Linked DNA regions of Xenopus tropicalis. The protein of the gene in region 5 interacts with the protein of the main gene of each other region in a biochemical or structural test. Links are inferred from orthologs where the notes say so. Each region holds a gene or a part of one and is shown on either strand. Other genes may lie near its edges. The genes, in order: phb, tbp, rbl1, ccna1, e2f1, topbp1 and setd7.

What was found.
Region 1: the proteins of e2f1 (region 5) and phb form a complex in vitro, tested with the Homo sapiens proteins (2 studies listed by BioGRID). The link is inferred for Xenopus tropicalis from reciprocal best matches to the Homo sapiens genes E2F1 and PHB1.
Region 2: the proteins of e2f1 (region 5) and tbp form a complex in vitro, tested with the Homo sapiens proteins (2 studies listed by BioGRID). The link is inferred for Xenopus tropicalis from reciprocal best matches to the Homo sapiens genes E2F1 and TBP.
Region 3: the proteins of e2f1 (region 5) and rbl1 form a complex in vitro, tested with the Homo sapiens proteins (2 studies listed by BioGRID). The link is inferred for Xenopus tropicalis from reciprocal best matches to the Homo sapiens genes E2F1 and RBL1.
Region 4: the proteins of e2f1 (region 5) and ccna1 form a complex in vitro, tested with the Homo sapiens proteins (2 studies listed by BioGRID). The link is inferred for Xenopus tropicalis from reciprocal best matches to the Homo sapiens genes E2F1 and CCNA1.
Region 6: the proteins of e2f1 (region 5) and topbp1 form a complex in vitro, tested with the Homo sapiens proteins (4 studies listed by BioGRID and IntAct). The link is inferred for Xenopus tropicalis from reciprocal best matches to the Homo sapiens genes E2F1 and TOPBP1.
Region 7: of the proteins of e2f1 (region 5) and setd7, one has a biochemical effect on the other in vitro, tested with the Homo sapiens proteins (3 studies listed by BioGRID). The link is inferred for Xenopus tropicalis from reciprocal best matches to the Homo sapiens genes E2F1 and SETD7.

Annotation. Positions count from the first base shown.
Region 1 is NC_030686.2:14,011,397-14,014,963, forward strand, and holds the end of phb (prohibitin), read right to left. Parts: intron 3,164-3,567; coding exon 3,068-3,163; intron 1,445-3,067; coding exon 1,232-1,444; 3' UTR 893-1,231; downstream 1-892.
Region 2 is NC_030681.2:50,706,237-50,710,480, reverse strand, and holds the start of tbp (TATA-box-binding protein), read right to left. Parts: upstream 2,801-4,244; 5' UTR 2,710-2,800; coding exon 2,659-2,709; intron 2,034-2,658; coding exon 1,714-2,033; intron 557-1,713; coding exon 469-556; intron 1-468. UniProt on the Homo sapiens protein: The TFIID basal transcription factor complex plays a major role in the initiation of RNA polymerase II (Pol II)-dependent transcription.
Region 3 is NC_030686.2:42,361,694-42,366,614, reverse strand, and holds the start of rbl1 (retinoblastoma-like protein 1), read right to left. Parts: upstream 3,224-4,921; 5' UTR 3,098-3,223; intron 2,634-3,097; coding exon of another isoform or gene 2,553-2,633; coding exon 2,500-2,552; intron 2,355-2,499; coding exon 2,154-2,354; intron 1,878-2,153; coding exon 1,813-1,877; intron 1,295-1,812; coding exon 1,166-1,294; intron 26-1,165; coding exon 1-25. UniProt on the Homo sapiens protein: Key regulator of entry into cell division. Directly involved in heterochromatin formation by maintaining overall chromatin structure and, in particular, that of constitutive heterochromatin by stabilizing histone methylation.
Region 4 is NC_030678.2:151,890,602-151,895,464, reverse strand, and holds the end of ccna1 (cyclin-A1), read left to right. Parts: intron 1-4; coding exon 5-239; intron 240-311; coding exon 312-436; intron 437-1,465; coding exon 1,466-1,689; intron 1,690-2,025; coding exon 2,026-2,230; intron 2,231-2,430; coding exon 2,431-2,544; intron 2,545-3,021; coding exon 3,022-3,155; intron 3,156-3,234; coding exon 3,235-3,286; 3' UTR 3,287-3,765; downstream 3,766-4,863. UniProt on the Homo sapiens protein: May be involved in the control of the cell cycle at the G1/S (start) and G2/M (mitosis) transitions. May primarily function in the control of the germline meiotic cell cycle and additionally in the control of mitotic cell cycle in some somatic cells.
Region 5 is NC_030686.2:41,694,203-41,698,547, reverse strand, and holds part of e2f1 (transcription factor E2F1), read right to left. Parts: intron 2,576-4,345; coding exon 2,485-2,575; intron 697-2,484; coding exon 477-696; intron 169-476; coding exon 19-168; intron 1-18. UniProt on the Homo sapiens protein: Transcription activator that binds DNA cooperatively with DP proteins through the E2 recognition site, 5'-TTTC[CG]CGC-3' found in the promoter region of a number of genes whose products are involved in cell cycle regulation or in DNA replication.
Region 6 is NC_030682.2:52,585,977-52,590,850, reverse strand, and holds the start of topbp1 (DNA topoisomerase 2-binding protein 1), read right to left. Parts: upstream 3,346-4,874; 5' UTR 3,106-3,345; intron 3,100-3,105; exon of another isoform or gene 2,968-3,099; intron 2,812-2,967; 5' UTR 2,807-2,811; coding exon 2,723-2,806; intron 1,705-2,722; coding exon 1,570-1,704; intron 388-1,569; coding exon 244-387; intron 148-243; coding exon 1-147. UniProt on the Homo sapiens protein: Scaffold protein that acts as a key protein-protein adapter in DNA replication and DNA repair. Composed of multiple BRCT domains, which specifically recognize and bind phosphorylated proteins, bringing proteins together into functional combinations.
Region 7 is NC_030677.2:61,012,005-61,016,349, forward strand, and holds part of setd7 (histone-lysine N-methyltransferase SETD7), read left to right. Parts: intron 1-3,754; coding exon 3,755-3,884; intron 3,885-4,345. UniProt on the Homo sapiens protein: Histone methyltransferase that specifically monomethylates 'Lys-4' of histone H3. H3 'Lys-4' methylation represents a specific tag for epigenetic transcriptional activation.

The DNA.
Region 1 (3,567 bases), about 28 Mb from region 5:
AAAGGCTAATAAAGAGTTAATCTCAAGCTGCAGGCATACCTTCAGTTCTCTCAATAGTGCCCTTAAGTCTCCCCATATTTTACCTGTTCAGAAGATCAGAAGCCAGACAGGAAGAAAAAATGCTGAGCTGTGTAAAGAAAGTTCCCATAATGCCTCACTCTGCACCGAGACCCAGACCAAGTGTACATGCTCAGATAGTTAGACTATGAGCCAGCTTCCTGCTGATTGGCTCAGATCCACATTCCTAAGGGGGGGAGTGAGTTCTTAGCATTCTTGAGGGAGGGGGAGCAGGAGAGAGCAGAGAGCTGCGTGTCTCTGGGAGAGGAAAACGGACACAACAAATCTTTTGACAGTGAACTCAGTGCAGCGTTTCTGTGAGTGCTTATGGCTGATAAAGACCTTTCTGATAAAGCTTACTTAGTTTTTACCTTTCTTTCTCCTTTAAAAGGGATCTTTTTGCTATGGTGATGGGGTGCAGAAAAGTATCTGAGCAAAGGCAGAGAATGTGAAGTGTGTAGAGGGAAGGAAGAAAATGATAAAGAACAGAAAACTCACTATCTAGCTATGTTGTCTCAGTGACTTTAGTCAATACGTGACAGGGTGACCCGAGGGAATCACAAGCTTAAAACCAGGCTGCTTAGTAAAGCCACAGTGACACTTTCCTGCTAGATTTTAGTCACTATCCCTTTACATTTTACACAAATCTCTCTTGTACTCTAGGTCTAGGAATACACCCTATGGCTGCGTGGGAGGGGGGGGCACAGTTTTGGCCAAGGGGATGGTGGTCCAGAAACAAACAATTTTAGGGAGGGCCTGGGCCCCCAAAGTTACATCTCATAGGTGATTAACACATGATCATCCCTACATAAGTAATCTGACTCATAATACAATGTCATTATTGAAATATCCTCTGAGGGATAACTTTTATTGTTAGTGACAGAAGGCCAGATTTTAGGTTTAGACATAAACAAGTGCTTCAACCAAAAATGTATTATGCCCTCCATTGAAAATACAATTATATTCAATTCAAATTCAGAAATATATTGGCAGGATTCAAACAGTTCTGTGGCTAAAGTCCATTTCATGTAGGGTATTATGTGGGCTCTGTAGGAGATTCACCTTCATACACAATCTTCTGTAACATTTCCCAAGGGAAATTGGCCAATTAACAAAGACCTATGTAGGGGTCAGACGTAAAAAAAAATAAATGGCATGACAACACATCATCCAATTACTGTGGTAGCTGTAATAATGTTGACTGTCCTGAGGGAAGGTAGGTGACATTACGAGCTCGAGACAGCTGGTACGCGATGTCCTCTGCGGCCTCCAGTTTGCGCAGCTCGATAAGCCCATCTCCTGCATCCGCCAGTGACGTCGCAATGAGCTCTGCTGCCTTGGAGTCCCCTTCTGCAGAAATCACTGCAGCTTTCTTTTGCTGCTCAGCCTGGAAAGGAGATACAAAGTAATTGGTAAGATTTCAGTCATCTCATTTAGCAATAGGAACTATGAAGGCAGGCACAATAATCCCTTAAAGGAAAAGTTCAGTGTAAAAATGAAACCGGGTAAAATAGATGGACTGTGCAAAATAAAAAATATTTGTAATATAGTTAGTTAGGCAAAAATGTAATCTATAAAAGCAGTTATCCCCAACCAGTGGCTCAGGGGCAACATGTTGCTCCCCAATCCCTTGGGTGTTGCTCTCAGTGCCCCCAAACCAGGGAGTTATTTTGAATTCCTGACTTGGGGGCAAGTTTTGGTTGAATAAAAACAAGATTTCCTACCAAATAAAGCCCCTGTAAGCTGATAGTGTGCATAGAGGCTGCCTAATAGCCAATCACAGCCCTTATTTGGCTCCTCCATTAACTTTTATGGTGCTTGTGTTGCTCCCCAAGTCTTTTTACATTTGAATGTTGCTCACAAGTAAGAAAGGTTGAGGACCCCTGCTATAAAGACTGGAGTGGGCAGATGTCTAACATAATAGCCAGAACTTTACTTCCTGCTTTCAGCACTCTAACCTTAGTCTGTCACTAACTTTGGAAGAGGGGGTGGGGGGGACGACCAGGGGGTCAGATTAAAAAGCAAACTAACTGAACAGTTCAGTTATGTCCCATATGCCCCCCCCCTCATATCACTGATTGGTTACCAACTGGTAACAGCTTAGAGTGCTGTAAAGGAGGAAGTAGTGTACTGGCTATTATGTTCATCTGCTCACTCCAGCCTTTATAGAATACATTTTTGCTTAACTAGTCATATTAAAAACATTTTTTATTTTGCGCAGTCTATTTTACCAGTTTCATTTTTACACTGAGCTGTTCCTTTAAGGTGGAACTTTGGCTTACGAACTAAAATTTGTTAAAGAGCTCCACACAACACAGAAACCCCTAATATACCTATGACTGTAATCTGTTCCTTCGAACTGTATGAATAAATACCATCTTTATATGCTAACATTCAGCTACAACACAGTTCTTCTCTTTCTGCATCATGTGAAATCCTGGCAGGGGAGGAGGGACTAAATCATTGATGTTACAATTTGTAATAACTTCTCCAAAGCTTAGAGAGCATACAGGAACTACATAACCCACAATGCATTGCACTGCAATGTTCCTTTCCTTATTGACGACGTGTGCAGGGAACTGTGGGATTTGGAGGATGCAGGCTGAGGACAGTCGACTACGGATGTATTTTGCAATGTTGCTTCAAATTATGTTTACTTTTCAAAGAGATTAGTTTGTTTTTGGGTGGAGTTCCGCTTTATTACAAAAAGGGTTGGCATATTCCATTATGGACAGTATATATCTTGATTGATCTGAAACACACTTCTTTTGGGAATATAAATATTTTACTCCTGCGCAAACCCTACAAAACATGCATATAATTGTTCAGTGCTACATCAGTATACATACAAACCTGTACATATACATACACTCCTGTACATATACATACAGGCAATATGTCTTGTGGAATACTGATAGTGAAACAAACATTTTCATACCATTTAGTTATCTATACATCTGTTTCCTGTAACCCATTAACTTTGGCTTTTACTAAATGATCACTCATGTACCTTCTCCACAATGAACCTGGCACGCTCCGCTTCCTGCTGGGCCACCTGTTTGGCTTCTACGGCCTCTGTGAACTCCTTGCCAAAGGTCAGATGTGTCTGAATGGAGAAATAAGTGCTTTAGGTTTTTTTATTTGCAGGTTACCTGTAAAATTATACACCACCCTGATATATAAATCAAAATTGCCACAGATATTACATGAAAGTGTTTTCCCGTCTGCAGGAAGTTAATCTGTTAATCTTCCACTACTAATGATAAGGTTTACATAACAAAAACCGAGAGCATCTATTATTCCAATGTGTCTAAATAATCCCAGGTCACATGAAAGCTTTTGATTTGGATTAGTTAGATTGAGGCCTTGGGGAATTCCCAATTAGTTGATTGGTCGAATGTCAAATTGTGCAGCTGTGCTGGCTAACAAACACTGTCATGTGACTCCTCTAATTCCAAGGCTTGGAGACACTAGAAGAACCAGCTGGCCTACAGATCCTTCAAGTTAATT
Region 2 (4,244 bases), on a different chromosome or scaffold from region 5:
GATAACCCATCCTCATGCCACTTCTAGGCCAGCATAAAAATACTATGCCCAGTGGGTATGGCAGGACAAAATTACAAACAGGAAATCCTTTTCTCATCACACATTTACAGAATTAAGTGCCATACAATGCACCAGTGTGTTCTCCTGAATGACTTTTACAGATAGATAAGAATATTTAGGGCTGTGACAGACGAGATGATTAGTTGCGACTAATCTCCCCGAAATGCCATCCCACCGGCTAGAATGTAAATCGCAGGTGGGATGGCATACGCGGCATCTTTGAGAGGAAACTTCGGCGATGCTTATGCCATCCCACTGGCAATTTACATTCCAGCCAATGGGATAGTATTTCGAGGAGATTAGTTGCTCGCGACAAGGGAGATTTGTCACGTGGCAACTAATCTCCCCGTCTGTCACAGTGAAAGCAACTATTAGGTGAATAAGATACAACAAAGGCTTTTGTCTTACCTTAGGGTTATACTCTGCATTTCGCGCTCTAAGTGCAATTGTTTTCAGATCCAGTTTGCAGCCAAGATTTACAGTGGACACTATGTTCCTGAACAATGTAAAAGCAGTTATTACAAATCCAAATATTTTTGCTCACTGTATTTAAAGGTATTCAGTCATTAATTTTTATTGTGTACTTATATTTCTAAATTACTGTTTACATAGCAAATAATTTACCATTTAAAATTTTATTCTTAAACCAACAAAAGTAATTTTTTAGTTGTAGGCAGCCAGATCAGTGCATTGTGCCCGAGTCTGAGCTTTCAGAAGGAGCCAGAGCTACTGGACTTGAATTTTTTTTTTTTTTTTACTATTGAGTACTGTTCTGATATCTACTGGGAGCTGCTAGCTTGCTAACTTACATTGTTCTGCTGATCGCCTGCAGGGGGATGATGATATCACTCCTATCTGCAGCACAGTAGTAAAGTGTGACTGACCTTTATCAGAGCAAAAGTCACATGACTGTGGCACCCTGGGAAATGAACATGGCTAGCCCCATGGGAAATTTTTAAAAAGTATTACAAAAAAAAAATTTGCACTATTAGTACTTGTAAAAGTGCTAAACTATTTTAATTTCCCAATTCTTTACTTGTTCTATTTTTCACACATGTTGGACAGATATAGGACACATTAAAACTAGGATACTACTGTACATGCTAAATTACATATCAAGACAAGTCTTTCTCCCTCAATAAAGTTTCACTTTAAATATGACATCAATTCAGTCTCAAGAATGTGGTGTAAAAGTCTGAAATGAGGAAACCGTCTGCATCTGTTTCTAGACCTAATATATACACACACCCCTGGCCTGGTAGCTTTTAAATCTAATATGGACTCCTATATTTTTAAGAAATGTAGCTTTTTTTTTTTTTAAACAAATGTAACACTCACAGGGTAAACAAAGGTAATGCAGCACTGTTAAAATACTCATTAGTACCAAAGGTAAAACAAAGATAAGGTCTTTTAATTTTGACAGGCCACACTCAAATGTGGTATAACAAATAAAGTCATTACTGTCTAAAATTAAAATATGCCAGAATATGTTTCCATTTCCTGTATATCTAATATTTACCATTTGCAGAGTTGTATGCTCTATGGCACTACAGAAATGTACAGACAAACATAAGGATTTGTTGACAAGTGTGCAGATACAGATAATCTGACAAATGATATCTGCAAAATGTCCCCCAGGATGATGAGACTTACTGTAGCTGAGGAACAATTCCTGAACTTTCTGATGCAGGGGTAGCAGGAGTAATAGGGGTCATGGGAGTCATTGGGGAGGGGTATAAGGGTGTATTTCCTGGAAGAGGTGCTGTGGTAAGAGTCTGTGGGTGAAACAGTTGTGGGGTTTGGCCTGACCCCTGATTGCCTTGTTGTGATGTAGACTGCTGGGCCTGTTGTTGTTGTCTTTGCTGTTCTTCCAATATTGATAAACTGTTAGTTGTTTGTACAGGTTGAGGGGTCAGACCAGTTCCATAGGGCATCAACGGACTGAAAATGTTAATCCCTGGAGTCAGAGAACCCTACAGAAATAAAAGACAAAAAAAAAAAAAAAATTATAACAAATTTGCTCTCAAACCCACACACAAGTTGAATCACAAGTTAAAATGGGCTTAGTACATGGGGATTTCTTTAATGAAAATCTTATGGTATAGCCCTGCACATGGAGTAGGACAAGCTAAGGGCTCTTACACACAGGTGTTTTCACCCTGCAGTCTCCCGAATTGGATTTCTTCTCCTTTCCACCACAAGGAAGCATAGGATGAAATGCAGCTCTATATTCATTCACATGCATGAATGAGAACGGAACACATCTGTTTTGTGTTCAAGAGCCCTCAGGATGGCGTTCCTCCACCTATTACGACAAGCGCCCCAGCAAGAGAAACATTTGCATTGAAGCCAATATTGGCTGCTGACTTGCATTTCCCCCCTAAGTCAGTTGGAAGCATATTGGCCTGTGTCTCAAGTTTTTCTTCTATTTTTTCATTCTTCAGTATTGTATCTGTTGTCCAAATTAACCACACCCGGTATACCGTATACCCCCCAATTTAGAAAGTGCAAATGAAGTGAATATTACAATGCTTTTAAAGGCATTTTATTTTATGGAGGGGGAATTGTGGTAAAAGGGAAAAAAGGGTTCACACTTACCTGTGGTGATGCCAACCCCTGGAAAGGGGGTATACTGTTGTTTTGATCCATGTTGCGTTAATTGGAAATCCCACTAAGAATAAAACAAAGTGTGCTGTTCCTACAAATTAAAATAAACCATTCCAGCAGCAGACAAAAATCCTATAAAAAGAAGTTAAAAAAAAAAAAAAAAAAAAAACATTAAAACATAGCTTACATTCAGCAGTTAGCACCTGTATTGGTAAATGTGATAAGTTAACAGTAGGACAGAGGGCCATAACAACGAGCCAATGTGGTCCCCGATCCGTGTTGGGGGTGCCCATACACAGGCAGATAAGCTGCCAAATTGGTCTGAAGGAACTAAATTGGCAGCTAGAACCTGCAAGTGTATGACAACCTTATGTGACCATAGCAAGCAGTAAAGACAACACCATGAAGCTAATCTGCTATTAATCCTACTGTATAAATCAGTGACCCAACAACTAGATGACTGTTTAAAAGAACAAATAAAGTAAAAAAAAAAAAAAGATAAGATGTAGGGGATATTTATAATATTAGCAGCAGCAAATTGCTTGAAATGACAAAAAAAGGTATACTAAAATGGTGTAGTCAAATTATACACTTGCAGATGTCACAATGGGATTCCTTCAAGCAAAATTTGTAAAATGACCTGCGTGTGGTTTTAGTTTCTCCAAATCTCTTAAGGGCTCTGGCACACGGGGAGATTAGTCGCCACGACAAATCTCCCTGTTCGCGGGCGATTAATCTCCCCGAAATGCCATCCAACCGGCGAAAATGTCATTCGCTGGTGGGATGGCATACGTGGCGGCACGATTTCAGTGAAATAGCGGAAGTTTCCTCTCAAGGCAACTTCCGCGATTTCACTGAATCGCCGGTGGGATGGCATTTTGGGGAGATTAGTCTCCCGCGAACAAGGAGATTTGTCGCGGGTGACTAATCTCCCCGTGTGCCAGAGCCCTAAGAAGCTATAAAAACCATAAACGTATTCATTCAGATGTAATAATCAAGCCTTGTTATATCTAAATTCTGAGATTTTGTAGTACAATAATACAAATTTTGCTATATGTGCCCCTAAACCTTTTTCTCTGAGGAACCAATTAAACGCACAAATTAGTTTCACAACACAAGGTTGGTTTATGTACATAACTTAGTGCCTAATTTCCATTGTACTCAGTAAGATCATGCCTCAACAGTACAGGGAGCCGTAGGTTTATTGCTGAGTTTAGGCTGTAGCACTACAGAATGAGCTAGAAAATAGTAGAAACTATTAGACTAGATAAAATGGCTCCAAATCAAATTGGTCAGCTCAAGGCCAAAGAAGCAAATCTAAAATTTGCCCAGCTTTAAAGGAGAAGGAAAAGTAAAATGACTGGTAGTAGTAAATATTATTAGGCATCCTCAGGGATTCCAGCCACTTAGTTTACCTGCTTCAGCAACCCCACCCCCTTTCAGGCATAACCTGCCAGGCTTGGGCAAGGGCATGTGCACTACAGAACTCTCATATTTCTGTACCACTCATACCCACCCTAGACTGTACCATTCACACCCACCCTAGACAGTACCACTGTACCTCTCATACCCACCCT
Region 3 (4,921 bases), about 670 kb from region 5:
CTGGGGTCAAGGGCAGGGAGCTTTGCTGGAGAGGCACAGAGGAATTCAGCATCATACAAAGTGGCAGCAGTTCATGAACCTCAATTCTACCCCTCACCTCCATGTTAAACAAGCAGCAAATGTTCCCGTGTAAGCCACCGACATGGGTGGCAATGAGTAAATCCCTCAGAATAATGGTTTTCTAAGGGCTAAGCTACACAGGAGATTTGGATCAGATTTTGCGATCTGGTCGTTCAACACCACACAACAGCACAAGATTCTGTACCAAATCTGATCTCCATAATTTGTAATTTAAGTCGGATCGTGAGTCTTGTTGGAGTCATGGAGTTTAGCCTTAAATCCTTTTCAATTTTACACCCACTGAAAACTAAGGCAATAGTGAAAGGATGCCACTCAGGTAACCACTGTGTTCAGTCCATTTTAAAACCTAGCAACAGTATAATGTATTTAGTATCTATAGCAGGGCTGTCCTGTGGAGGGCCCCATTCAGCCCGTGGTCCCCCAGTTTGGATTTTTAAGGCCCCCAGTCTGCTCAGACACTCCATAGGCTTCACTATATGACATTATTTGGCTTTCCAACTTGCTGCATAAGATATAGCTGGCCCATTACATGTAATAAGTTGGACTGCACTGATCTATAGTATTAAACAGAGTAGAGATGCCAAAGCCTAAACACCAAGTGACATCTAGCAGTCAGACAATACAGTACAGCATATCACAATATATAACCATGATCGATAAATAAGAGGCCCCTCCACACATTTTAACTGCGCACAGTACTGCCTACAGCTGGATGTTGAAGCCCAACAAGATCTGGAGGGCCATCTCTTGGTTTACTGATAAAAACTATTTGTTGTATATTAGAGAAAATATAGACAATTCCAGTATATGGAGTACAAGTACCATATACAGGCCAACAAGATTAGCCAGCACATAAGCCAGTCACATAGTGGCACACATGGGGCAAATAGCACTCACTTATTGGTGGGCACTATTCTGAGAGCTCTCTGAAGTGACAGAGCTTTTACTTTGCATCTGAAAAAAGCCCCGGCTCAGCAGCTGAGGGGCACGGGCAGCTGAAACATCCCATCCATTTGGTTTTTTTGTAATGACAGAGCTAAGACTCATGTTATATTTTGCATAGAAAAAGAGTGATAATACATACCAGTAAAAGAAGGATTTAGCAGATCTTCCTTATTAGGGCACTGCAGCACGTGTGCATAAATAAGGTCCAAGCAGCACAAAAGCAAGTGATAAGAATTAACCAAGTCATCTCCAATCAAGCAGAAATTACCTAGAAACCAGAATGTTTTTAAGTAAGTGTGTCTCCTCTCTGAAGGTGAATATATGTAATAGCTATAAAACTGCCTATATCATATAAGTAGTAGTTTCTCTTTAAATTAACTTGCAGCATGGCGTAGACAGACATTTTCTAAGTGTCTTTAAAAGTTTACTTTTAGTTCTTCAGATGGTATCTCGACTGCTATGTGCCAAAACAGAAGTACTGAACGACAATAAACTGCCTTTACCGCTAGGGTCACTGACCCCGACAACCATTTTGTGATTACCCCAAAGATATTCTTCAAGAGAAGCCATGGGTTAGGCCACTCACGGTGTAGCTGGGGAGTTTAAAATTAACTGGAGACTTTTCACTTTGCTACCATTATAGTATATAAATACGCCACATTCCTTTACAATAATGTTTGTTGGTAAATGCCAGACCCTCCTTCCTTTGTCCTAGAGCATTCCTAGAGGAACCTAGAACCTGCGATATCACTATCCAAACACGGCAGTACATTAGACAAGACTTACCCTTGGAGTATACGAATAATGTCCAGCAGAAACTGAAGAGATCTTTGGCACTGCACTGCAGCCTCCTGGAGAACAAAACACTGCCAGTTAACGATATCAATTCTACAAATAATGCTGTTTTAAAGATCAGAAAAAACAAGCTGGGGGGGGGGAACCTTTGGCTTATTAGTTGTTCCTTCTGCAGAACAATCCTATAGAATGGGCTCATACTGATTCCAGTAAAAAAAGCACCTGTTTCCAGTGCTAGCCACTGGCCAATAAGTCCTTGCAGTGGGCTTCTCTAGTTGCCCATAAGAGAATATTAAAACCAAGGTACTGGGGTATGCCCCATTACACCCCACCTTTGCTTCCTGCTCCTTGGTAATCTCGGCGGCTCCTCGTGAGGGTTTTGAAATATCTCCCGAAAGATGGGCTCAAATTTCTTAAATATAACGGTGGCCACCTCGAAGTTCCTTTCCAAGCGCTCCACTCGCTCGCGGAACTCCTGCGGAAGGTTGGACATGTCTATCCACTTCTTCATTTTATTGAAGAACTGAATCAAGCTGCGGAACAATGAAGGAACAGAGCGTGAAGCGATTGGGGGGTACATACCCTGAGCAGTATCGCCCAGGCTAGAAATAGCCCCAGTTACCATTTACATACATTGGATGAAAAATGACTGCTATGTAAAGGAATTTCTGCACATACCTCAGTTTTGCAGAGCGCAGTATCCGTGTGAGCGACACGCCATTTCCCTCCATGATGCCCTTCCCCACTGTCGGTATGACACCTTTGCGACATGCTGCGTACAGGGCACACGCGAGCCAATGCTTCACTTCTCCCTAAAAGACGCAGGAAAACAATCCTGTAAATTCTCCACTTGAGAGACAGAGCTAGAATAATATTAAACTAAAAGCTGAGAGCAAAGGTAAACGATCCACATGCTTTTTTGAGGCTCTGTATGCAGCACAACACTTTGTTTCCATCTAACGAAGACTCCATTACTCAGAGACAAATTCCAATTTTTTATGTTATGGCCAATTGAAATTATGCTGTCTGGTTGCTAAGTATTATTTACCCTAACAACTAGGCAGCTGTTGGAAATCAGAACAGACAATGATCAGTTGAAGGCCCCCAACAAGCTGATGGTATTATCAGATGCAGGCTGACTACAAACATTAACAAATAATGAAGACAAAATGAAACATTAGATTGGTCCATTCATTCAATGCTAATGAATATGCTGGCTCTTTATGTGTTGGAAAATAAATAGTAAGAACGAAATTTAAAGCTGAATTTCTCCTACATTTCTAGGCACAGGCCCTACACGCTGATCTGCCCCCGGGTGGCTATGGGAGGCTCAGAGGGAGCACTGGGCGAGGAGGTAACAGCTGCTGCTGAGTATTAGCCCCGGACAACGTGGCTGACATTTAAAATGGCAAATCTGTGCAGTTCCTGTGCCTCCCCCACGTGCCGGCAATCAGCTGTCATGTCAGTACATGCCCAGAGCCCCGGCACTAGGGGCAGGACTATCCCACATACACTGCCATCTAAAGCTACACGGTGAATTCAGCATAAACATATTGGGTTTGTACTGTATGCAACTGTCGCAGCTCTTGTATCTACAACATGACAAATACACACAAATATGGGGGCTGGGGGCTCCTATCCCAATGCTGCACTGGGCCTAAAAATGGGGCGCCCGGCTACTAAGAGACGGGGCCACCATCCACAACTTGTAGGCACACAGACCAATGAATCCCAGGATAGTGTGGGGCGGATATACTCCCCAACACTGACACACACAGATTACACAATATACCCAGCTGTCCCTGCGCCATTGGAGCTTACATTCTAACATCCTGTCACATTCAGAAGGCAAAGTCAGGGGAGGGGGGGCAAGGATGCAGGACCCCCACACAGCAAAGCAGGAGGGCAGGGGGACCCCCACACAGCAAAGCAGGAGGGCAGGGGGACCCCCACACAGCAAAGCAGGAGGGCAGGGGGACCCCCACACAGCAAAGCAGGAGGGCAGGGGGACCCCCACACAGCAAAGCAGGAGGGCAGGGGGACCCCCACACAGCAAAGCAGGAGGGCAGGGGGACCCCCACACAGCAAAGCAGGAGGGCAGGGGGACCCCCACACAGCAAAGCAGGAGGGCAGGGGGACCCCCACACAGCAAAGCAGGAGGGCAGGGGGACCCCCACACAGCAAAGCAGGAGGGCAGGGGGACCCCCACACAGCAAAGCAGGAGGGCAGGGGGACCCCCACACAGCAAAGCAGGAGGGCAGGGGGACCCCCACACAGCAAAGCAGGAGGGCAGGGGGACCCCCACACAGCAAAGCAGGAGGGCAGGGGGACCCCCACACAGCAAAGCAGGAGGGCAGGGGGACCCCCACACAGCAAAGCAGGAGGGCAGGGCAGGGGGACCCCCACACAGCAAAGCAGGAGGGCAGGGGGACCCCCAGAGTACAAGGCAGGAGGGCAGGGCAGGGGGACCCCCATACAGCAGGGCAGGGGGACCCCCAGAGTACAAGGCAGGAGGGCAGGGGGACCCCCAGAGTGCAAGGCAGGAGGGCAGGGGGACCCCCAGAGTGCAAGGCAGGAGGGCAGGGGGACCCCCAGAGTGCAAGGCAGGAGGGCAGGGGGACCCCCAGAGTACAAGGCAGGAGGGCAGGGGGACCCCCAGAGTACAAGGCAGGAGGGCAGGGCAGGGGGACCCCCAGAGTACAAGGCAGGAGGGCAGGGGGACCCCCAGAGTACAAGGCAGGAGGGCAGGGGGACCCCCAGAGTACAAGGCAGGAGGGCAGGGCAGGGGGACCCCCAGAGTACAAGGCAGGAGGGCAGGGGGGCCCCCAGAGTACAAGGCAGGAGGGCAGGGGGGCCCCCAGAGTACAAGGCAGGAGGGCAGGGGGCCCCCAGAGTACAAGGCAGGATACGGAAGTGCCAGACAGTGGGACAGAAGGCACGGCGGCCCCGGTATGAGTCAGGCCGGTTACCTCCAGGCTGTAGGTGCTCCATGTCCGGGTAAAGTCTCTGATAGTCTCGGCCCCGGTCTCCTGGTCCAAGTTGAGCTCCCGGCACAAAGTCTCCAGCTGCTCTTGCACCGCCTCCCCCGGGCCCCCGTCCG
Region 4 (4,863 bases), on a different chromosome or scaffold from region 5:
TTAGGGTGGGGCCCCTGCAAAGTGTCTGCCTGGAATTGAAAATGTGCTTCCTTTCGCTGGAAAAATCCTGCCAACAAACCCAGCACTTGTGGCTCCAAAGCCAATCTTTACAGTGTATGTGGATGAGCCAGAGGAGCCAACAGAAACCTATTCGATTGAAGAGGATTGTCCCACTCTGGATGAAGTAGATTCAAATATCGTGAAGCAGAACATCCATCTGCTCTTGGATCTCAGTGCAGGTTTGTTTAATCCCTGCTAAAGCTCTGCATTTTCCCTTTAATACACATTTAAACTGCCTATTGTTTCTGCAGCTTCTCCGATGGTGGTGGACACCTCTCTCCAGGCAAGCCCAGAAGATGACTCCATAACAGATCCAGATGCTGTAGCTGTGTCAGAATATATAGATGAGATACATCAGTACCTTAGAGAGGCTGAGGTGAGATCTGGGTTAAACATGGCTTAGTTTGTTTTATCTGATCACAACTTCACCTTCATATTGTAAGCTTTGAGCAGGACCCTCTTACCACTATGGCAATGTACCTGTTTGTATAGTACTATATATTTATAATTTTGTGCTCTAAGTTACTATACAATTTATTTGGCTTGACAATTAACAGTCTGCACTGCTTTCTGTTCTAAGGACCCACATGTACTATAGTTTTGCATTGTCATGCCTTCAGTTCCTCTAATTTACCAAAGGTGATCAGCCAGTCACTTATGACAATTTTCAAAGATGGCAGCCACTTTTCTCCTGACGGCCTTCTAGGTGGCTAGACTTGTAGCAAATGTTCTACCTTTTTATTGCATTGTCCCTTTTAGGATGTTGGGTCTAAGCAGTCTTCACCACTTTAATGTTCAATGTAAAACAAAGACCTATAAAAGCTTAACATTACACACAAGCAGATTTAAGCTTAAGGAGAAGGGTCATATAGGTATTGGCAAGGATGTTGGAAGAATTCCCCATATGAAGCAGTAACTTAATCTCTGTGCTGTTTTTGTCATCTGCTAAATACTTTTATGCATGTCTTACTCTACTCATTGACTTTCTTCAATATACTGTGCATTCTGCCTTCACTATGTCCCCATTTATACTCTACATTCTCTTGGCTTTTCTGCTATTTGTCTTTTCTTGTAGCCTCCATATTCTGCTCTTCTGCTCTCCAGTCTCATTTTCCCAATTTATTATCTGGCCCTCTTCCCCCAACTTCTGCTTTCAAAGGCATCTTGCAGTCGGCTGTAGTACACTTTCAGCTGCCTTATAAGACGTAACTGGGGGAAGACCCCCATCAGAATCTACCCCCTCATACCTGTAAGCTTTATTTACAGAGTTTCACAATCTAAAACTACATGCTGGCAAGGATAAATGCTCAAATGGCAATACAGCAAAGTAGTGGGCCGCAAGTCATATGCATGGTCTGCCAGTTGGGTGACTGCTGTGAGTTAATGTGTGTTCTTAATTATCCAGTTGAAACACAGACCAAAGGCTTATTACATGCGTAAGCAGCCAGACATTACTTCAGCAATGCGCACAATCCTCGTGGACTGGCTAACAGAAGTTGGTGAGGAATACAAGCTCCGTACTGAGACTCTGTATCTGGCTGTAAATTATTTGGACCGCTTCCTGTCATGCATGTCTGTACTCCGGGGGAAACTGCAGCTTGTAGGCACAGCCGCTATCTTATTGGCATCGTAAGTAATGGTAGAATCAAACCTATAGACATGCATATATGGGGGGAATGCCCCTTGTCAGACATATGTATATGGGTCTCATTAACCTATAGCAACTAATCTGCATTAGCCGTTACTGGTCATCTTGGCTTCAAACAAGTCTTATTGGCTGCTATGGGTTACTGCACCTGGTCAAAAGCACCTATTCAAATATTCCTTTGCTCGGCAAGGTATAAAACCGTTTCCAGGCCTAACCCAGCACTTGTAGACTGACCCAATTTCTACTTTTGAGCCCCTATGTGGGCCTTCAACAATGACCATTGTGTAGTAGAGTAACTACTTATTGCTTTTACATAGAAAATATGAAGAAATCTACCCTCCTGATGTTGATGAATTTGTGTACATAACTGATGATACATACTCAAAGAAACAGCTGCTGCGCATGGAACACCTTCTGCTGAAGGTTCTGGCCTTTGACCTTACTGTACCTACAATCAGCCAGTTCCTGCTTCAGTACCTGCAGAGACGTGCAGTCAGTGTGAAGACTGAGCACCTTGCAATGGTAACCTATTCACGTATTGGCCAACCAGTGTGTAATACAAATCTGTTAACTTGTGCTTAGACAGCTGTACAGATTTCTGCATTTCTAGTAGTTATAGGGCAGTTAAATGTATAAGCCTCATTCTGCTAACTGCACACAAATTAAAGTACAAGAATGTAAATGGGATACTATAAGTGCACACTGCATTTTGTTTTTTTTAGTACCTGGCAGAACTAAGTCTGCTTGACGTGGAGCCGTTCTTGAAGTATGTTCCTTCAATCACAGCTGCTGCAGCCTATTGTCTTGCCAATTATGCACTCAACAAAGTGTTCTGGGTAAGGTGCTAACTTATGATCTCACTAACAATTTTCATTTGTATTGAGTAGCTGCTGTTTCTCCTGACATTAATTTTTGACAAAGTACTGGCTAAGTACTTTGTGCAGTAGGGCTTACAGTAATATGGAAAGTTGTGAACTCTGGAGTACCCCCTTTAAGCACTGACTCACATTCCAAATATCTCACTTGTAAGATAAGAGATGGCAGTGACTGGCAGACTTACACAAATTCCAAAAATCACCTGTGGTAGGTGCACAGCTCTGGAAGTGCTTGTAGAATGAAGCATTCTTCTGGTTTCATTATAGCTGCAGTAAAATCCCATTATTGGTTCTCTAAATGTGTTAGGTTTATTATACTAAACTTGTAAGGTATGCCTTACAGGTGGAAGTAGGGTAAAAGCAGGCAGTAACAGTACTTGTGCTTATGGCTAAATGTTGGTGTCAAGCAGCTTTTTTTTTTTTTTTTTTCTTATATAGCCTGAAACACTGGAAACCTTCACCGGCTACACACTGAGTGAAATAACACCTTGCCTAAGTGATCTGCACCAAGCCTCTCTCCGTGCCCCTTTTCAGGCTCAGCAAGCAATAAGGGAGAAGTACAAGACCCCCAAGTAAGGCAGCTCATATAATTTCCCCAACTCAATATTAAGTTAAACTTTGTTCTGATTGGCTGTTAAATCTTTCTCCTAGATATATGCAAGTCTCTCTACTGGAGATGCCAGCAGTACTTCCCCTGAACTGAAGCCTTCAGAGTGGATACACACAGCACTTACCTCACGATCAACAGTGTTGGTCTTATTTTTTTTTTTATGAAGACACTGCAGGCCAAGTGTCCAATGGAGCCGTTTTATTTATTAACATGTATACTGAGACTCCTGTGCTTTTATGAAATAGACTTTTTATTCTGTGTAAACTAAAGGACTTATATTATAGACAAGCCTTGGATATTGGGCAGGCACAATGTCTCTTGCTGTGGGAACTAGTCATGTGGACATCTGGCTAATAAACAAGTGGATGTACTAAAACTGAACCCCAGTGGGCACAGCAGACATGCACTGGCTAACCACAGTACTCAAAGACTTAGATAATCCTGACTTCCTACAGTCAAGCTGCTCAAGGAAATGGCTTTTTATGAATGTCAACACTGAATAAGAGCGTCATTATCCAGGTTCTTTAACTTGTGATGGTGTCAAGTGTTTTTAATAAAATTGATTTACTCCTACAGTCTTGAGCCTTGTTTTCAATAACTGTATTGGGACACAAATCAGGACCCCACTGGCCAAAATTTAGCATATAAAATACCCTAAAGTCTTAGTGTGGATACACTAAGCAGCAGAAGCATATACTTGGCCTTTACCCTTGGGGGTAATCTGGTCTTTGACCCTTCTGTAGCAGAGGTTTAATTGTTCCTGCTTGTAATGCTAGAACACTTGACTAAAGGTAGTGAACAGTGATAAAACCCATGTTCACCTATTAGCGTTTGGTCAATTTCTAAGGGTATGGCAAATGGTTTGACATCAAACATGCAAAAATGAAGCTTCAAAAGTGAGCAGAAGCATCCCTTCAATAGTGGGAATGCACTTGTCATGCCTTAAGGAGGATATCCTTTATCTCAACTCGAGTAAGCTTCCATGGTGTCTATAGTAAAAGGCATTGTGCTAGACTATATTCTGTACCATTGCTGGTAAATTAACACTATGCAGTCTTTGCTTTAGTAGGTGTGCAATTACACAGGCTGAAACTGTATACCTGCAATTGTTGGGTTTTCTTGCACTAGGTCAACTTTATAATAAAGGTTAGCCTGCATGCTAGCAAATGGGTTCTCCTAGGAACTCCCATGTACAGCTTAGGTTAAGCAGAGCATTGGCTTTTTTTGTTCTAAAAACCAGTCCATAACTAGGATGGTGGCAAATGCAGCAAGAAACTGCTGAAATGTAAGCCTAAGTGAGGGTGGTGTGTGCTTAACTGCTAGGAGAAACTATTGCTAATTGTACCAATATTGCTGTTGTGTTCATACTGAAAATAATAGTGTGCAAACTGTATTTGCCCACATTGCTGTCCCTTGCTAGCATGTAACTGTGATGGCACATTGGCATGTCAGACATGGTCTTGTGATATGACAATGTCCTTTTGGGAGTTCTACATTGCACAGCACTTATTCTCCATATTTAACTCGCCTTCACCTAATGAATCAATCGTATCTGAACACACACCCCAGGACTTTGCTGACTTCTTTAAAAGCAAAGTCGATTCTATCCGCAAACAATTTTCCCAACCTTTAGATACCGGTAATCTCAACCTTCCAGAATCTCCTCTTTC
Region 5 (4,345 bases):
CAAAAATGAAAAGGATATTTATGACACTCTTCTTCTTTAAACAATTTCAACTGAGTGTTGGCCATGTGAATAAGTTTGTCTAATTGTTTCTCTTGGTCCTCTAACTTCTGGCAATCCTTCAATGCACTCTGGTATCTGCTGTTGTATTCCGCATATGATGTATATCCCCTGAAACAAATATTATAAGGTATTATAAGAATATTACAAAGTGTTATTTTGTAGTGTCTGGGCTTGGTCAACTAAAACCAATGAACAAATAACTCATGTCTAAACAAGGTGCATTTTAATGGTCAAATTAAGCTATGCGGTGATAGACCTGAATTGCCTTTGTAAAGATTAGAAGAAGCAAAGTATAATACAGAAGACCTAGTTAGTAAAAGAAATACGTAGGGCAGAAACTGACTAAAGAGCGGAAAAGAAATATAAGTCAGAAAAAAGGGGAGAAAAAAAAAATCAACAGCGCCTCATATACTTACAGCCATTGTATGTGGTTTTTGGATTTTTTAGTGATTAAGTGGATCCCTTCCAATACATTGGTGATGTCATATATTCTCCTTTTCTGCACATTCAGAACCTGAGCAGCCCAGTTCAGATCCACTACTCCATCTGAAGATTGGCTTAGAAGTTCCAGAAAACGTTTGGTTGTAAGATGCAGGGATGTATCATATCGTGACCGCTCCCCTGGGGATTTCACTGCTATTGAGTAAAAGTAAAAAAGGTTATATCTCAGTTAAAAAGAGAAGGTTCGTTTTTTTGTTTAGCAGTTCACCAGTTTGGAATTTCAACAGTTAACCGGTTGCTAGATAGCAAATGACCCTAGAAACCAGGTAGTGGTTTGAACAAGAGACTGGAAAATGAATAGAAGTGGGGCTGAATAGAAATATAAGTAGCAACAAAAATAAAACTGTAGCCTCAGAGAGCAATCATTTTTTGGCTGCCAGGGTCAGTGACCTCCATTTGAAAGCTGGAAAATGCAGCAGACGTAGGAGACTACGTTTTCCAATTTTAAAGATGGGCCTAATCTAAACAATTTATGAATCAGTCTATTTTAAGAAATATTTACTTTTTTCCCCAGTTGCCTTTTATTTTTATATTTTTCTAAGATTTTAGCTTCATTTTGCTCCCTCTGGTGTTCCTAGTAGTAGCACAGTAATTAGCTTGACGACAATTTGCTGTATCAGAGTGGGGCAAATCTCCATGTTTTGTAACCCAAGTGTTTTCCTACCTCAGAGGTCGGGCGACAATGTGCAGCTAATTGCATGCAACAACAGGTGCACTAGCAGGTCAGGCAATTATCCCACAGAAACAGTGGCTAATGCATTTTCAAGCGATTATCACCTGAACCGTGAGTGCACCTGTGTGTGCAGATGATTACCCTAGGAATGAATAGGAGACTATTCCAAACACTTTGTCACCAAGCCAAAATAAGGAGTGGGAGTACTTTACTTTGAAAATTCACATAAACAGTAACAAAGAACAAAGATGTTGAAACACGTGTCTTTCAGAATGGCAGAAATTCCATACTTACGTCACTATGGATTATTAGGAGACAGTTTAAGGATGGCAGAAATTTGCTACGTCCAATCAAATGTTTAGGGTGAAGACACACGGAGCTTCTAGTAGCAGCTACTTTTTTTAGAGCTGTGGCAGACAGGAAGATTAGTCGTCCATGACTAATCTCCCCAAAATCCCATCCCACCGGCGATTTACATACTCGCCGGTGGGATGGCATTTCGGGGAGATTTGTCGCGGCCAACTAATCTCCCCGTATGCCACAGCCCTTAGGGCTCTGGTACACGGGGAGATTAGTCGCCCGCGGCAAAACTCCCTGCTCGCGGGCGACTAATCTCCCCGAGTTGCATTCCCCCTGCCATCCCACCGGCGAACATGTAAGTCGCCGGCGGGATGGCAGACGCGGCGGGGCGATTTTGGGAAATCCCCGAAAAAGCCTCGCGAGACTTTTTCGGCGATTTGCGCAAAATCGCGCCGCCGCGTCTGCCATCCCGCCGGTGGGATGGCAGGGTCAAGGCAACTCGGGGAGATTAGTCGCCCGCGAGCAGGGAGTTTTGCCGCGGGCGACTAATCTCCCCGTGTACCAGAGCCCTTAGGCTACTAAACACCACAAAATCCCCTGCCATAGACAATACTGAGGATTGCATCTGCTAAAACACACACAGAGACAATTATCAGTAAATGATCAGCATTGTCTTATTTAGTAGCCACGACAAGTAGCTGCTACTAGTAGCTCCATGTGTCTTCACCCATAGACCCAGCAAAGTATAAAACAGAAGGTCTAATTAGTAAAAGAAAAAACGCAGGGGAGAAACATGACTAAAGAGCGGAAAAGAAATATAAATCAGAAAAAAGGGGAGAAGAAAAATCAATAAAGCCTCACAGTAATTTTATGTTGTTTTTAGATTTTTTAGTGATTATGTGAATCCCTTAGATACATCCCATAAACGCACAATACACATTTAAACTGACCTTTCAGAGGTCTTTTCCCCTTCCCGCGGGGTGTCTGTAGCGCTTCTTGATTATATCTGGATACAGTTTCCAAATCTAACTTCCTTTTTACCTGGAAAAAATAATTGCCATGAATGATTAGTATGATGTAGGCAGTAAAAAAAATATTATGCAAACCTGTGAAGGAGAATCAAAATTGTAGTGTAGTTTTATACTTATTCTCATAAAAGGTAAGACAGGGCACTTTGGTCCCATAATTGGGAGTACCATAGCCTTTATGGTTTGAATCGGACATGATCTACTGCAGGGATCCCCAACCTTTATTAGCAGTGAGCAAAATTTAAATGGAAAAATAGTTGGGGTGCCAATAAGTGCTATGTGGACTGGCAGCCTACAGACGGCTCTGTTTGGCATTATACTTGGTATTTATGCAACTAAAACCTAACAAAAATTCAAAAATGGCACCGACTTTGAGGCCACTGGGAGCAACATCCAAGGGGTTGGGGAGAAACATGTTGCCCCTGAGCCACTGGTTGGAGATCACTAATCTATTGTGTGCAAAAACTTGGGCTTTTGGCACACAAAGTATTCTGGGTAGACAATGTACCATTATGAGCCTTAAAGTGGCATTTGATTGGCATGAAGCAGGCTCACATTACAATGGTTTTAGTGGAGGCTTTTCTTTTAAACTGCTCCCTTACTGTTTTACAGCTGTTTGGTAAAAATTCCCACCCCGGCCCATACTGGTTTCCCAAGTCTGAAGCGTAGGAGGAAAATTCCAACAACCCATCTGGCTGGTTTACCCAATGGTTGGGCTAGGCTAAAATGATGCTTGCTTGTTAACTCTTTCTGTGCGTGTTACAACTTGCTATGCTGGGTGAGCTTTTACAAGCTGAATAGACCCCGTACCTGAAGTATATATACATATATAATGCAACTATAGTATGAGATGCAGATGGCAGGACTGACTAGTTTACAGGCATAAGGACCAACCCACAGCTGCACAATGGACAACAGTTACTGATCCCATTAATAAGGAATCCTGTTTTGTGTGCTCTTGGTTACACTACAGCACTACCCATAGCTGACTAGTAACATTGGGATCATTAGCTGGGTCAGTGCTAAGATATTCCATACTTTGGGTCAATCAGTATCATTTACAGATGAGCTTCATATTGCAAAACAAAACCACCTGTTAATAGGGCAGTGCCAGTAAATTAAAACCAATTATTCTCACTACTGCCCTGTGAGGTTAATTATATTGTTATGATTAGAGGTAAACCCATTATCCCAACTAAGATATAATTACCCCTTATTGGGGGCAGAACAGCCCTATTGGGTTTATTTAATGGTTAAACGATTCCCTTTTCTCTGTAATAATAAAACAGTACCTGTACTTGATCCCAACTAAGATATAATTACACCTTATTGGGGCAGAACAGCCCTATTGGGTTTATTTAATGGTTAAATGATTCCCTTTTCTCTGTAATAATAAAACAGTACCTGTACTTGATCCCAACTAAGATATAATTACCCCTTATTGGGGCAGAACAGCCCTATTGAGTTTATTTAATGGTATAATAATGGTATATGGTATATAATTACCCCTTATTGGGGGCAGAACAATTCTATTGGAAAAGACCACTTATCCGGAAAACCCCAGGTCCCGAGCATTCTGGATAATGGGCCCCATACCTGTACTCATCTTTCCATGCATATGTCAGTCACTCATTCAAAGCACTGCCTGGTTGCTAGGGCGGTTAACCCTAACAACCAGGTGTGGCTGCTGAAATGCCAAACTGAAGTTATTTTACAAAAAGCTTAATAAATATCTGCATTAAACTTAAGATGAAGAACCCCTTCCATAATAACCACTGACACC
Region 6 (4,874 bases), on a different chromosome or scaffold from region 5:
AGACGGAAGAAGAATGGGCTTCTCTAGGCTTGCAGCCACCAGGTATTTTTTACTGCCCACTTCACCAGCAATTAGGTGTGTAACAGAAACATTAAGATCCCTGTATACACAGCCTCCCATGAGTTGTACATAATTATGCACATCTTCCTGGTGTTAAAAGAAAGACATATTTACATTAAATTTCTTCTTTATGCTATTATAGAAATAATAACCCAGGTTTAAATTGATGGGTCTTAAACCTACCCTAGTTTCTTTATCGAGACTGGTACAGGAAATTGTCACATCAGCCATTGCCATATTATAGACAGGATATTCAGCACGAGGGACACGTCTTTGATGCTCCATACAAAAAATGACAACTTGTGGCCCAACTATCCTACAGCCAAGCTGAAAACATAAGCATATTTTGATGCGTCAATAAATTAACTAAGTTAAAAAGCATCTTACATAAAGACTAAGTAATATGTTACATATTTTTTTACTTTTATTTTATAGGACATATGGAGCATAAACTCCTTTAACATTATCTGAACTTTTCAAAGTAAATTTAGAAAAATTCTTTATTCTGACACTCAATTCAATCCCCTTAGTAATAAACAGAAAATATGTATTTATATATATTAAACACATTTTTGAGCATTTTTTCAGGCACTTGCCACTTCAGAGACCTGGGCAACTACCTAAATCCTATTTCGGGCCGTGACAGATGGGGAGATTAGTCGCTCGCGACAAATCTCCCTTTTGCGGGCCACTAATCTCCCCGAAATGCCATCCCACCGGCTAGAATGTAAATCACCGGTGGGATGGCATATGCGGCGGGGCGATTTGCCGAAGTTGCCTTGAGAGGAAACTTTGTCGATTTTGGCACAGTGTATGCCATCCCACCGGCGATTTACATTATAGCCGGTGAGATGGCATTTCAGGGAGATTAGACAACCGCGACAAGGGAGATTTGTTGCGCAGCGACTAATCCCCCCGTCTGCCACGCCCCTTACAAACACTGTCAGAGCCACACCAGCATCCCCACCAAAGGCAATACTGCTTGGTCAGGCACCACACCAGCAATCTCCTGATGCCACTGAGTTCTCTCTACCCCCTAACCCCCATAATGGGTTGGTTTTTTTAGTTGGCAGAGGGTGGGCACAGGCCAGCTTTTTGTCGACCCATCATCACTAGTGCTGTTGCCTGCCACTGGTATACTGTCCATAAAAAGGTTAGAATGTGTTGTAGGCAGGCTCACACATACTGTGCATAGGCTGAACAGTACACTCACTCGCTTCCTGCTCAGCCCTGCCCCTTCTGAGTGGATAAGCTATAGTAATCTGGTATCCCCCTCATGAATGTCATTCTGGGCCAATGCAGTTTTCTGCTATTAGGAGCAGTGAATAAGTGATTATAATCACTGTGTGATGACTAACATTTGGAACCCCCAGTGACCTTTCTTCTCCTTTAACTACTGTCTTTTGTTCTGACTGCAATCAAACTATAGTCAAAATGGTTCCATTAAAATCATGGAATATGCATTCATATAGAAAAGTGTTCAGTATTTATATAAGTATAATGGCAAACCTTTTTCAGATGGTTAAAGACAGCACCACTAAAAGGATCACAAATGTAGAGAGATTTGTCTTTTTCTTTCAAGAGAAGTGCCTCACTTTCTTCAGTTAGCTGAAGAGATTCATCAGACTGAATCTGCTTGATTGCCTACGAACACAAAGCAGAAAATAAAACTTCTATTGCCTTTGAGAAAGTAATAATGTGGACAAATGTAATGCAAATTACAAGGTTCCATAAACGCTCATAGCCCTATTGAATATGGTTTCAGCTTTACACAAAAAGGTTATCACCCATCAAATATTCCAAAGACTGTGAGCCCTTTACACGGAGTTAGAAGAATAGTTCAGTAGTTACTTGGTAACTGAGTAACTAGGGCTGGGCGATATACCGTTCAATACCGAATACCGGTGTTTTTCTTTAAAAACTATATTCATTTTTCAGATACCGCCATACCGGGGTGTCAGGGTACTCACCCGTGCGGCCCGGTCTCGCGCTGACGGCACCGGTTCTGCGCATGCGTGGGGGGGGGGGGTATTTAAAGCTATCAAACGCCTCCTCCTGTGCTATGTTGTCTGCGGCCTTGCCTGGGAAACTAAGCCTGCCTGATTTACCTTACGACTTTCTGTTGCCGATCCTTCGCTTGCCTTTCAATACTGCAGTAATTATTATCTAATTTATTAGGAAATGGGGTTAACACCTAATCATGCATGGAACAAAAAATACCGTCAAATAACGTGACACCGATATAATTTTGAAAAATACAGTGATATAAATTTTTGGTCATACCGCCCAGCTCTATGAGTAACCATATTTTATCTAATGTATGACAACCATGTTTCAAATAAAATGTTAAGAAACAAATAGTGCTGTGTGCACCTGCAAGAAATGCCCCTGGTATCTTTCCCAACATTATAAGACAATAGAAAGTTAGCAACGTCAAAACAGATTGAACTAAATCTGTACATGGTTCTTTAGAATATTTCCATAATATTTTTTCTGTAATACCTAAACATAGAATTGCGTGAATGCTCTGCATATGAGTTTGGAACTTTGTTATAATTACTTAGAGTAAAAATATCAGTACAGTAAAAATATCTTTCTACATTATGGGGTTCTATAAGCAACTGTGTAATGTATCCAGATATTTGTTTTATAAATATATTACCTCATAAGCTTTAAAGAAGTATTCAGAATTTTCAGGAGACTTGATAAATTTCACACAAAATGGCTCATTTTCACTCCTAGCCATTTTAACTAAGAACAAAAAAAAATGTGAACATATTACTTTCATACAAATGTCACAATACATCACAAAGCTTGAGGAACAGTAACAGTAAAAAAGTTTATTAAAAAAATAAAAACTACACCTTCTAAATAATACCCATGTCCAAATGCATTATAATTATTTACCTTCAAATTAGCCAAAAATCTTCACTAAAACTCATCGCCATACTATGGACACATTTTTGAAAAAAGGCGATAGGAACACTAGCCCCTCAGTACTCTCCGTAATTGCGCGCTCCCAATGTCTCTCTCTCTCCTACTCACAGGATATCCGGTTGTAACCCGGAAGTTCCGCAGTAGCTGTGAAGAGGAGGAATGGTTTCAGCCGGCATGTTCAAACTTCTCCTTCTCTTCTAGGTTCGTGTTCTTTTCAGAGACTAGGGGAAAGGCATGCTGTTGGAAGAGAGGTGGGGGAAAGGCATGCTGTTGGAAGAGAGGTGGGGGAAAGGCATGCTGTTGGAAGGGAGGTGGGGGAAAGGCATGCTGTTGGAAGAGCTGGGGGGGAGAGGTATAGACACGCTGAGGAAAAGACCTGTGAAGCAAAGAATGCTTGGTTAGAGGTATGGGAAGGGGCAGGGACTTTGTGGGAGAGACGCTGTGGGGGATGGCTGCTGAAGGGAAATGCTGGGAGACACGTTGGGGGGATGGCTGCTGAAGGGAAATGCTGGGGGACAGGTATGGGCTTTGTGGGAGACACGTTGGCGGGATGGCTGCTGAAGGGAAATGCTGGGGGACAGGTATGGGCTTTGTGGGAGACACGTTGGGGGGATGGCTGCTGAAGGGAAATGCTGGGGGACAGGTATGGGCTTTGTGGGAGACACGTTGGGGGGATGGCTGCTGAAGGGAAATGCTGGGGGACACGTTGGGGGGATGGCTGCTGAAGGGAAATGCTGGGGGACACGTTGGGGGGATGGCTGCTGAAGGGAAATGCTGGGGGACACGTTGGGGGGATGGCTGCTGAAGGGAAATGCTGGGGGACAGGTATGGGCTTTGTGGGAGACACGTTGGGGGGATGGCTGCTGAAGGGAAATGCTGGGGGACAGGTATGGGCTTTGTGGGAGACACGTTGGGGGGATGGCTGCTGAAGGGAAATGCTGGGGGACAGGTACGGGCTGTGTGGGAGACATGTTGGGGGGATGGCTGCTGAAGGGAAATGCTGGGGGACAGGTACGGGCTGTGTGGGAGACACGTTGGGGGGATGGCTGCTGAAGGGAAATGCTGGGGGACAGGTATTATTTATATAGTGTAAGTGAAGTCTTTTTTGCTCAACTATGATAGAAAATAATCTGGAGTTATTTTTTAGGGTGACAGGTCCCCTTTAAGCTTTAGTTCTCCTAACACTGCATCTGTGTTGCCATAATTCTAATGTAGTGTGGTGGAGAAAATCCTAATTATATTGCACTAATAGAAGTGCATATTGTGATGAATCAAGGAAAAATATCCCTCAAATCACTTTTTTTTTTTTAAATATAAATTCTGATTGATCTAATAAAGTATTTCAAGAAATTCCAAACTAGAGAGCTTCAGAACAAAACAATAATTAATAACATTTTCAACAAGATGCTATAAATTAATTGTAAGATGAACCTCCCCTTATTAGAGCAATCATAATTATTTAAATAGATTGTATATACCTAGGCACTTCCTAGGTGGATTTTTATAACTATAAACATATGATTGCACTAACGGAGTATTACCTGTGAATGTAATTAAATTACATTAAAAGTGCAGCAAGGTGTTAGGCATAATGTAGACTATAATAATAATAATCAGTAAGAATTACTCTTGGACTGAAAAAAAAGTGTTTGGAAGGTGAACTACCCCTTTAAAACACTGTGGAAATATTGGAGATGGGGGGAATAGGGGGAGCAGGAGGAAGCAGCGAGGTGCGGGCCAGGGGTCCCTGGCTACCAATGTCTGTGTGTCCTTTGTACTGATGGGAGGGGCCGTGGGGTGGGGGGGAGCAGAAAATTTTGTTTTCAGGGGTCCGTGATTTCTGATGGCGGCCTTGCTCTTCATGCTGTGGGGGGATT
Region 7 (4,345 bases), on a different chromosome or scaffold from region 5:
ATTCAAGTTTGGGGGCTGTAGCTTCAAAGCTGTAAGAGTGGCAGCAGCTTGAAAATCTTCCCTGTTAAAGTCAATGGAAAAATTGGGGTGTTCAGAGGGGCGCCACAAAAAGACGGGGGGCCGGATCGCTTAGAAAAGCACAAGCAACCTGCTCCGCTATAGGGCGAAGAAGTGTGGGGTGCTGTACCCCTAAAACTGTAGGAGGAGTAGCGTTTAGAAAATGGGGGGGCGCTAAGAATAAGAATAAAAAGTGGAAGACTAAGCTGAAGTTGAAGAACAGTATGTTGGGTTTTTCAACCCAACACAATGACAGCATTGGTATTTTCTTTAATATTTACCAGAAGGGTAGTTCTTTAAAAAAATGCACCCTATATTTAGATATACAGGTATAGGACCCATTATCCAGAATGCATACATCCATTTTGTGTGACAGTTTGGAAAATGTAGTGGTTATTATGCAACATTTTTCCCACGCATGCTTTTTCAGTTCAGATTTTTTAGTAAATGTATAACATTTGTGGAAATTCAAATTTATTTTTTTTTTTTTTTTTTTTTTTTTTTTTTTTAAATGAGAAAAAGTAGTTTTAGTAAATCTGCCTCTGAGAATTCTTTATAATGATATCATACACAGGTCATTTAAGGCGTTTGAATATTGTATACATCTCCCATCTTATAATGGGTGATCGTGCTGTACTAATGAATAGAAATGAGCCAGGCCCCTGATAAACTTTTGTCAGCGTTGCATCCTGTGAGGGCATTGCCTTTCACCCAGACAGTGCCACTGCCAAACTAATTTTGTTTACTGGTAGAGGAGAGATGTGACTGTGCTGTGAAAGCAGACAGAGATTAGACAGACAAGGGATAAAGCGGCTTAGACTGGAAATATAGTGCTAGAAGAAACAGTCAGTAAACTATCCCAGGGCTTTGTGACCTTTTCTCTCCCTTATAATGGGACCCATATACTCTTTAGTGGCAGTAAATATGAAGGATGGGGTGTGGGGACAGAGGTTAATGGGGTGTAAGAAAGTGGGATAATATTTCCTGATTGGGGGTAGTTTGTTTGTTGTGGCCTAGTAATCCAAGAGCACAGAACCGATCTGTAATGGAATATCTCTGGAACCCTCTGAATGACCTAGAAATCAGAATTTGATTTAACATTTTCCATCAGTTGATATCTGATTCACACAGTGCCATTAATACTAAAAGTGTCTTGTCATTTCTATTGTATCAGACTCACAGATAATTATGCCTTTACATTTGGGATTCTGTAGGGAAATATAAAAAGGGAGAGAAAAGAGCTGCTTTACCAGGCCACAAATTGGCAACTTTCCCCATGACCAATATATATGTACAGTTTGGCCACGAATACCTTTACCTCCACCTGTATGTTCAGGACCTCTGGCAAAGGAAACCATGGCTTTAAATGTGTTTTTTTTTTAATTGTTATGCTCTCTACTGTCTTTTTGTAATCTATTTTTTGTGCATGTACTGGGATTAAATCAAACACCATTAATCGCACAATTGATCTTGAGAACATGTCATCTGTGCTTGCAAAGTCGAGTTAAAATGAATATATATGCATGCAGATATTCGCTATAGATTAGCACTGTAAAACATTTCCTATGTAGTGGGCAGTAAACTGACATACTGCATGTTTGCAGGCTGGATTATATTAAAATCATTATTTTATACTCCACAGTCTGTGGGGCCCATTGTGGCTTTAAATATCATACATCCAGCCCTCAGACCTCCAGTTGGCCAGCTTTGCTATAAATAATGCATTTTATGCTCTTCTTTTATCTGCACATGAATTTACATTTTGTCTGCTTGCAAAGTACTGTATGTTCTCTCAGAACAACATTTAGCCTTTAATTTCATGCTGCCGAACAACAACAATTAACTGAATGTAAAAGTATGGGTAGAATTCTAGCTCTAGCTCTCTATGTGGCATGTAATCTCATTTCAACTATATAACATATATCTCCATATTGGGATAAATACAGTTCAAACAGAAGTTCACACATTTAACTTCCAGTTGCAATGGCACATGGGATGATTTTGTGTGTTTTGTAGGTAGTGGTGATTAATAGCTCCAAAGGTAGGGGCAAAATGCTTGAAAATTGCCTTTTATTCACTTTCTACAGTTGCACCCATGCTCACAACCAATCACTTGTCAGTTGTGATCAATGATTGTATTCACTCTTGCAGGCAATTGCTATTAAATTGAATAGGACCAATTTCAAGTGTTTTGTCATCACCACCATAGATGCCTAAATATCCTCACTGACTTTAGACCAGCCTGTCTTAGGTGTTGGTGGGGTAGACTTGTGTGAGGGGCAGTACAGTAAGTAGAAAACGGCATATAAGGAAGCAGCAGAGGGGGTGGCAAAGTGATGGCATTTAGGCATAACGTGAAGGTACATGTGGGAAATTACAAGGGCAAGTGTAGTTCCAAGAGTTGTGCAGGGCAGTCATGAATTTTTATAATAATATTCTCTCAAATAAACAAACAAATGTCAAATAAATGTTACTGGTGACATAATGGGGGCAGGAATTGGAGCAAACCAGGAGAAACTGGGTTGCATGGGGGCATAGCTGGGTGGAATATGAGTGTATCAAAAACTAAATATTTGTGTATTTGTGACATTGTTGTTAAATATTTAATAGAGGCATTGACTAGTGTTTTAAAGTCTACGCCAGTGAAATGTTCCTGATAATGATGAAAATGTTAATGAGTTAAAATATTTAGCAAAGCAGATAGATGTCAGTTTGTCAGAATGTGTTTGGCTTTGGCACATTTACTTTCTTTGGATTATTGTCCTCAGCTCAGCAGTAGCTCTTGGTACTAACACAAGAGACAATCTGAATTGTCAATTCCTAATGCAAATTACACAAGGAAATTAACAATTCTACCCATTGTTTTCGGCGCTAGGACAAATTTATTATAGATCAGTACATTTTACTGATCAATTTAACAAACAGAAACTTTTTTGTGCAAATCTTGCTCAGATAGCATTCTGTTTCAGTTCTTTGGAGCATCTAGCACCCTACACACAGTCCTTACTACATATACTGTACGTGCACTGCCAGCTTCCCAACACTATTTCTTTGGCAAACCTCGATGCATCAAGAAAGAATAAAATAGAGACTGACCATAACAGTAGCTGCCAATATAAATGCATGGAATAAATAAGGTTTCAAATGTTTACCTGAAAGTATGAATGGAACTGAAGTCATTTACTGACTATAGGAGAAGCTAATAAAAACTTTACATTGTACGACAGTGGTTGTTGGAACCTTTTGGTTCAAGGTCCCCTTGGAGGGTCATTCTGTGTTCAGGATCACCCCAGTTACCTTCATGCTGAACCCCTTGGTACTGTTCCAGTGCCCCAGGGGACCTCACAGTCACAACACAGATTTGATTGTTATAAAAAGGTAGGGATAGTTCAGAAAATAAGTATACATTTTACAGAAAAGTATCCAATAGCAATTTGCTTTTGTTAGTCTTACTGCATTTAAACAGCTATAGTTCATTGTTAAGAAAATTATACTTTGTTATGATGCAGGTGCATGTCCATGGCTTTACCATTGTGTCTCTTATAAAAATGATTTGCCTCCTGTTATTTTATTCATTTATTATTTTGATTACATTTGTTTGATTTTGTGTGCATTTTTGCTACATTTAATCCTTCCACCATGCTATCTGTATTAACCAAATACGCATTATTTAATCCTCTTTATTATTTCTGGGAAGGCCTGTTGGATGATGACGGATTACCTCACGGGTTTTGCACTGTCAACTACAGCTCAACTGATCGGTTTGAGGGGCATTTTGTACATGGAGAAAAAAATGGACGTGGAAAGTTCTACTTCTTTGATGGAAGGTACGTGCATGTAATGCACCTTTTTTTTTTTTTAAGCATATATTGCTACATGCTGGAATAGCAGTTATGGTTTCATTTATTGTTTTTATTGTTTTATTAGGTGCACATCTGTATTAATATTACAATTACTATATATATATACATCAAACATAATAGATAAGTGTATACATCAAACATAAATATAGTATACAAATGCCGAGTGATACAGGAGGTACAAAAAGCCCTTGCTCATAAGAGCTTCCAATGCAGATAGTTGTAATTCAGCATCACCAGGATAGCCAATGGAGGATCTTTACTAAAACTCATTGCACTGTATGCACACATTATGTACAGGTATTGTACCTTTCTGGATAAGGGATCTTTCCTTCCAATAAGGATTAATTCTGTCTTAGGTACTGTTTTATTACTACAGAGAAAAAAGAAGTCATATTTAAAAATTTGAACAATTAAAATGGAGTCTG